2 linked regions of the Arabidopsis thaliana genome follow. The protein of the gene in region 2 interacts with the protein of the main gene of each other region in a pairwise test. Each region holds a gene or a part of one and is shown on either strand. Other genes may lie near its edges. The genes, in order: AT1G77250 and SNL2.

Region 1 (3,923 bases), on a different chromosome or scaffold from region 2:
ATGATTCCTGATATTACATTTGGATCACGCACCCGTGTTGCTTTGGACATTGGCTGTGGTGTGGCGAGCTTTGGTGCGTTTTTGATGCAGCGTAACACGACAACCTTGTCTGTAGCACCAAAAGATGTTCATGAGAATCAGATACAGTTTGCATTGGAGCGTGGTGTTCCTGCGATGGTGGCTGTCTTTGCCACACGGAGGTTGTTGTATCCAAGCCAGTCTTTTGAGATGATTCATTGTTCCAGATGCAGAATTAATTGGACACGCGATGGTTAATTTCTGGCTTTTTGCTTCTCCTCTAATGTTATTTGAGCTTTAGCATAGTAAGTGACTACAGCATTTTGTTTCTATGAATTACACAGATGGGATACTTCTTCTTGAAGTTAATAGAATGCTTAGAGCAGGAGGCTACTTTGTTTGGGCTGCACAACCCGTTTACAAACATGAGGATAACTTGCAAGAGCAGTGGAAAGGTTTGTATATTATTCAACAAAATAATTTGTCTGCTATGGAGTTTAACTAAAATATGGGTGTTGCTTCTGCGCTTTGATTATCTTTTTCAGAAATGTTAGACCTTACGAATCGAATCTGTTGGGAGCTTATCAAGAAAGAGGGATATATTGCTGTGTGGAGGAAGCCTCTAAACAACAGCTGCTATGTCAGTCGCGAAGCTGGAACAAAACCTCCTTTGTGCAGACCTGATGATGATCCTGATGATGTTTGGTACATATATGCATCTGAAAATCTAGTTTCTTTTTAATAGTTTTGAGCCTTCTTGCATAGACATTATATGATAGAACCACCAAATTCTCAGCTTTTCAATTAAAACTTTCTAAAAATCTCAACTTTGTGGTTATGGTTTCCTGTTCCAGGTATGTAGATATGAAACCGTGCATCACCCGATTACCTGATAATGGCTATGGGGCTAATGTCTCCACATGGCCTGCACGTCTTCATGATCCGCCAGAGAGGCTACAAAGCATTCAAATGGATGCGTACATATCCCGAAAGGAAATTATGAAGGCAGAGTCTAGATTTTGGTTAGAAGTAGTAGAGAGTTATGTGCGGGTTTTCCGCTGGAAGGAGTTCAAACTGAGGAATGTTCTGGACATGAGAGCTGGTTTTGGAGGGTAACCATCAATCACACCCTTTTTTTGTTTCTGCCTTACCAAAGTTTATTTGATCTAGTATTTCTTGATTTTGGTAGGTTTGCAGCAGCATTAAACGATCTGGGGCTTGACTGTTGGGTTATGAACATTGTTCCCGTTAGCGGATTCAACACCTTGCCAGTTATTTATGACCGTGGACTACAAGGGGCTATGCACGACTGGTACAGACTGATAACCTTCTGCTCTTTTGCTTCTAATCCCACATAACTTTAACTTACACAAGATCACATTTAAAGCTTTTTTCACTTACTTCCTCTAGGTGTGAGCCATTTGACACCTACCCAAGAACCTATGATCTGATACATGCTGCATTTCTCTTCTCTGTTGAGAAAAAGAGGTAAAAAGATTTAAACTTCGTTTTTCTTTTTATCCTGAATCCAAAAATAAAGGTCAGGAACTTGATTGGGGTAATGAATTGTGGAACATAGGTGCAACATAACAAACATTATGCTGGAGATGGACCGGATGTTGAGACCAGGAGGACATGTTTACATAAGGGATTCACTGTCTTTGATGGACCAACTTCAGCAAGTGGCTAAAGCCATCGGTTGGACTGCTGGTGTTCATGATACCGGGGAAGGACCCCACGCAAGCGTTAGGATTCTCATCTGCGATAAACGGATATGAGGAAAAGAAAAAGAAAAGATACGAAATCGAATGTGATGATAAGTCTGCTCAAAGCGACAGTTCTTCTTAGTGATAAATTGATAATTGTATTATTGTTTATTTGTTTGTTGATTTGATTGTTGAAGAATGAAGAGTGTTAATACACTTGAGCTACTTTAACACATGAGTAACAAAAAGATTCATTTTCTCAGACAAAAAAAAACAGAGAGAAGTGTGAAATAAAGAAACAGAGAATGGTGGGTGTCTTTCAGTTATAACCGTTGGATTGCTAAAGTTGAGATCCGACGGTTGTGACTCTTTGATCAGGGAATAACTAAAAGCACGTGCACATCACGAATCTGTTACTGTGGTGGACTCCGTCACCGTGAGTCTCCGGCGCGGTTTTTATTACTACTTCCACGTGTCAGTTTCGCGTCACTGATTACCGGTTTTGACCGGTTTCAGATCCAAGTTGAAAAATATACCGGTTAAGGGACGCGGAAGTTTAAAAATGATTCAAAGATAAGAAAGGCCGGGATTTACAGAACCACCGGCGAGTCTTAATCTCCGAGAGCCGGTAAATCAATCCTCTTCCTCAAATTTCTAGGGTTTGCTCTTCGTCGGTTCTTTACGCAGATTTCTTCACACTGGTACGGTTTTACTCTCTTTTTCCCTCTTGTCGGTTTTTTCGCTAGAGGTTTGAATTTGGATTTAGCTTTGTTCCGTCTTTTGTAGTGTCTAGATAAAGCTCCATTGAAGTTTCCGTATCTAGAAATTCGTTGTTTTCTGATGAAATTATGGTAGAGAAGTCTTCAATTTCATCGCTTTTTGTTGGAATGATATTGTTTTTTCTAATTTCTAGATGGTTTATTTGGTGATAAAATCGAAGACATTTTGATAGTTTGTTACCAATGGTCAACATTTCCATATGAGATTTCGTTTGTGGGTTATATAAGGACTCAAGTTTCTGTTTTGTCTATTGTAGGATGGAAGATTGGTGAAACCCTAGCTCCACTGTGTGAGGATCAAAACATTTGTTTAAGATGTTCATGGAGGAGGCGACAAGTAATGGTAAAGGTACAGAGCATAATCAGCCAAATGGTTTGGTGGAAAGTGAAGCATTGAATAATTGGAGTGCAGGATGTGGTGCTATGGCTAATTCTGCAAATGCTAGTTCCAGAGATAGTAAGAAGATACAAACATATAAGCGGAGAAAACTTGGGAGATCTTATTCTGCTAATAAATGTTCGGAAAATGATAGATTTTCCATGGAAGGTGTTAGTCACTCAGAAAGCCGGGTACTTTTCATGCCTTTTTCTATTATGGTACCACCTCTTGTTGTGATTGGTTTTAAAATGCTGGAGTATATGTAGTTGCTAGCATTTTGCAACTTTCGCTCACCTCAGTTGTTATATGTTTTGTGAATTTAGTTTATTGGTTTATTTTAGAGCCTTGGCTAAGTAATGTATATTAGGATCTCTATAAATCTAGTGATGGTTGGGTAGTTGCTTCAATAGTGAATATTGGGCCTCAATTACTCAGCATGTTGCTGAGGGAGCTAAAGAGAAGGGTCATTTCTGCTTATATTCGTATGGCTATTCAAGTAACAATTTTGCGATTATATATCTGTTCCCTTCATTTTGTTCAGGCTACATTGGTGTCTAGTGTGTGATAGCTATGTTTCAGGAAACGCTTTGCAAATAGTAGTAAAATCCATATGTGCTGTTAATACTGTGCTTATTGAAAACCTGACTAGAGTTTGCTAAATCATGCATTCATTCCTGAACTTCGTCTCAGGTTATATTTGTGTGATCAACTCATGTGTTCATGATTTACTTTCATGAATATGCTCCTAAAACATGTTAGCTCTTTCTTGTTTTGGATTAATTTTTTCATTAAATTTCTTCACAGGAGTCTGTCTCTTATGAAAGGTTTAGCATAAGAACCCATCTTACTGGTGAACTCCCGAAGCCTCCCAGTCCAAATAAACCATCAAGTGAATCCACCAATCATGAGACGGTGACAGCCGGTTGCCAGCATGTTCTGTCCCATGTTTTAGCTTCAAAGGAGTTTGCATCCCTAAATAGGTTACTTTCCGAAAATCTTCAAGGGGTCAAGATTGATGATTTTACGAGCAGAACTCTGATA
Region 2 (3,923 bases):
CTATCATGGTCATGACACCAATGATACCATCAAAATCTCTAAACTAATCTCTATGTTCAGTTTTTGGTGGTTTATTATCAAATATGTTTCTTTGTAATCCATGCATGAGGGAACGTTTCACTGCAATAAAGTATGACCTCTTATATTTTCTTTACGTTCACATAAATTTGGTTACAAAAATAAAAATAAAAATAAAAATAAATGGTTACAAAAAAGAAAGAAATAAAATCCTAATAAATACTTTAATGGGCCTTACTTCGGCTGATAATGGGATATAGGCCCAAAGAAGTTGCAAACGGACGGTTTTAATAGGCGCAATTTGTTCTATTTGTCATCGCAACACTCTTGTTCTGATTTGCATAGAATCGTCGCTGATCGAAGTGATTCTGCTCGATTTTGCTCTCACTTGAAAGATCTGAGTGATTTGTTTCAGATCTTCTCCGAAAGTGAGTCTCTCTAAACTTCATCGTGATTCTTTGTTTCTCTTCTGCTTGCAATAACTTTTTCCCCCATAATTCTTCAATCAGGGATGAAGCGGATTGGAGATAAAGAAATCGACGGTTCTGGGTCTCAAAATCAACATCCAGTGGGCTCCCCTCGAAACGAATTGTAAGTTCCATTTTCAATCTTAGCGATGAGCACACAGAGGGTTTCGCATTTATGCTATTTCAAATCTTTTAATCTAGTTGCGTTTTAGCAAAAGACTTTGGTTAGTATCGTAATCTTGAAGTATTGTGTTGATGATCGTGGGGTTGTTTTTGACGCAGACAAGGGCAATCTCCAAAACCTGGAAACGGTAACACCAAAGATGCTTTGACAACCGATGATGCTTTGGCCTACTTAAAGGAAATAAAGGACGTGTTTCATGATCAAAAGTACAAATACCATCTGTTTCTCGAGATTATGAGCGACTTCAAGGCACAAAGGTATAACATCTTTTTGTTTTGTTTCTTTAAGTATCATATTTAGCCTCTGAACCCATTCTTCATCTTGCATTTTATCAGGACCGATACTTCTGTCGTGATTGCACGAGTCAAAGACCTGTTAAAGGGACATAACCATTTAATTCTCGTATTTAACAAATTCTTGCCACATGGGTTTGAAATTACTCTTGACGATGAGGATGAGGATTAAGGATCAAGAAGCTAGCATTTGAATGAGACGGATATATCAAATTAGCTCTCTGTTCGACCTTTTTTTTAATATCTTCTTAGCTCTACTACAAGTTACAATTGGTTATTTTTAGTATTGGAGAAACAGGTTGTGTTGTTACTTCTGCTCAGAATTATGAATGTTTTTTCTCATAGATCAAAAGATCTCTGAAGTCTGACATGTGAATTTTATTCAAAAGATCATCACAGCAGAAGTTTCAAAATAACTATTCGATTGGGCTCTCATAAAGTACAGTTTGTTTATCTTTCATACTCTGATTTCAGAATAGCGTATATTGCCAATAAGGCGAAGCAATCACAGAGCCAAAAACCAAAGAGTTCTCATTGTTTTTCTAATACAAAACCAAGATTTGAAGATTCAAATAATAAAACTTATTGAGATCAGAGTTTGGTTAATAAATTCTCAGTCACGGTTAATCAGAAACACGGACCAATTTGTTACTCATCACATCTCTGTTCAGAAAAAGGGACGACTATGTGCAAGATCTAAAAGGAGAAGAGAGGAAATATAAAAACAAATAAGATCATCAGAGACTTAAATACTAAGAATCATAAAGATTTCTCCATCATATTGTTGCAGTATTTGCTCATCAACTGATCCAAACAAAAAATCCGAATTTCAAAAACACTAAAAACTGCAGAAGTATATAAGAAGATGTAGCAAGCTTAGATCGATATCTCTGAGTAATGTTATCTGTTTCCTCTTTATATATCTTCCTCGGCGAATATGATGAAGCAAAACCCTAATTACCTTACGAATTTATTTAATGGGCCTAATAATCAGGGCCTTTTATTAAGCCCATTATAAATTTTAACGGCCCAAAAATAGAAAAAAGGAAATAATAATAATTTGGTCTCGCTGAAACAATTCTAAAGAAGGTGCCGGGAGAGACCTCATAGGCAAATTCCGTCCTCGTTTCTTCTTCTTCTTCATTATTCGAAAATTACTTTCTCTCTCTTGCTTCTCAGTCGTAGCAACTCCAATTCAAAACATTTCTCTCTCATTTGTTTTTTAATCTTCTTCTGAATTCCACTCTGTTCTCATCGGAATTGTTCTTGGGGTTTGGCACAATTCGGGAAATTTGAAGTTTTCGCCGGAATTTGATCGGAAGTGTTTCTTATCGATTCCGCTCTTACTCGAGAGATCTGATTAATCTCTTCCCGGAGTTATATCTCTGGGAAATCTGGAGAACGAGAAAGTAGGTTTTATCAACTTCATCTGAATTTTCCTTTTTTAGATGCTCAGTAATGGAATTTCTAAATTGGGATTTTGGGTTTACCTTCAAATTTCTTCATTTCTCTTCTCTAATCGATGATCTTTCTTGTTTGTTTTACTCAGAGCAGCAATGAAGCGAATTAGGGATGATATTTACGCAACCGGGTCTCAATTTAAACGTCCTTTGGGCTCTTCTCGTGGCGAATCGTGAGTTTCCCTTTTCGTCAGACTTCGAAAATTTAAAATTGCTGGCGATGAGACATTATAGCTTGTTTGCATGAAAGTTACTAAGTGATTAGAGTTTGTTTGGTGCAGATATGAGCAATCTCCAATCACTGGAGGAGGGAGCATTGGTGAAGGGGGAATCAACACTCAGAAATTGACTACCGATGATGCTTTGACCTACTTAAAGGAAGTAAAGGAGATGTTTCAAGATCAGCGAGACAAATATGATATGTTCCTTGAGGTTATGAAAGACTTTAAGGCACAAAAGTAAGATCTTTAATTTCTTTCCTATCAGATCGATTGAATTTTTGAAGCCTCTGGGAACAATTCTTCATCTTGCATTTACAGGACTGATACATCTGGTGTGATTTCACGAGTGAAGGAGCTGTTTAAGGGGCATAACAATTTGATTTTCGGGTTTAACACCTTTTTGCCTAAGGGGTTTGAAATAACGCTTGATGATGTAGAAGCTCCTTCAAAGAAAACTGTTGAATTTGAAGAAGCCATAAGCTTTGTTAATAAAATTAAGGTCAAGAAGTTCTCTTCTCGTATGTATGTCCTTATCTTTGAAGTGTCCTCTACACCTAGTATCTCATTGTATCAGTTTCTTTTGCATCACTGCAGACACGGTTCCAGCACAATGAACTTGTCTATAAGTCGTTTCTGGAAATCTTAAATATGTATCGGAAGGATAATAAGGACATCACTGAGGTTTACAATGAGGTAATGTCACATTGAAGTGATTATATCTCTCGTATACTTTCACGTCGATAATTCTCGATATTTTATACCTCTAATATCTGTTTATTTAGGTGTCTACTCTTTTTGAGGACCACTCGGATTTGCTTGAAGAGTTCACTAGGTTTTTACCAGACTCGTTGGCGCCTCATACAGAAGCCCAGTTACTTCGTAGTCAAGCCCAACGGTATGATGACCGGGGATCAGGCCCTCCTCTTGTGCGTCGAATGTTTATGGAGAAGGTATGGTATCGGTTACGTTTCTTCCTGGTTCTACTATATTGTTTTCAGGACTCTCTTTTCTGTGCTGATACATTTTTCATCATCAGGATCGCCGACGAGAAAGAACTGTTGCTTCTCGGGGTGATCGTGATCACAGTGTTGACCGTTCTGACCTTAATGATGATAAATCAATGGTTAAGATGCACAGAGATCAGAGGAAACGTGTTGATAAGGATAATAGAGAAAGGAGAAGCCGTGATTTGGAAGATGGAGAAGCAGAGCAAGATAACTTGCAACATTTTTCAGAGAAAAGGAAGTCCTCGAGAAGAATGGAGGGGTTTGAAGCTTATT

The links.
Region 1: the proteins of SNL2 (region 2) and AT1G77250 interact in a two-hybrid assay, tested with the Arabidopsis thaliana proteins (one large-scale study listed by BioGRID).

What each region holds. Positions count from the first base shown.
Region 1 is NC_003070.9:29,021,834-29,025,756, reverse strand, and holds the start of AT1G77250 (RING/FYVE/PHD-type zinc finger family protein), read left to right. Parts: upstream 1-2,282; 5' UTR 2,283-2,425; intron 2,426-2,760; 5' UTR 2,761-2,818; coding exon 2,819-3,073; intron 3,074-3,686; coding exon 3,687-3,923. Other genes in the region: AT1G77260 (S-adenosyl-L-methionine-dependent methyltransferases superfamily protein), read left to right, coding at 1-271, 363-473, 564-723, 873-1,130, 1,208-1,330, 1,429-1,506, 1,598-1,796.
Region 2 is NC_003076.8:4,864,165-4,868,087, reverse strand, and holds the start of SNL2 (SIN3-like 2), read left to right. Parts: upstream 1-2,056; 5' UTR 2,057-2,371; intron 2,372-2,511; exon of another isoform or gene 2,512-2,516; 5' UTR 2,517-2,518; coding exon 2,519-2,595; intron 2,596-2,703; coding exon 2,704-2,880; intron 2,881-2,961; coding exon 2,962-3,142; intron 3,143-3,237; coding exon 3,238-3,336; intron 3,337-3,425; coding exon 3,426-3,593; intron 3,594-3,679; coding exon 3,680-3,923. Other genes in the region: AT5G15025 (paired amphipathic helix Sin3-like protein), read left to right, coding at 530-609, 768-926, 1,005-1,134. UniProt on the Arabidopsis thaliana protein: Acts as a transcriptional repressor. Plays roles in regulating gene expression and genome stability.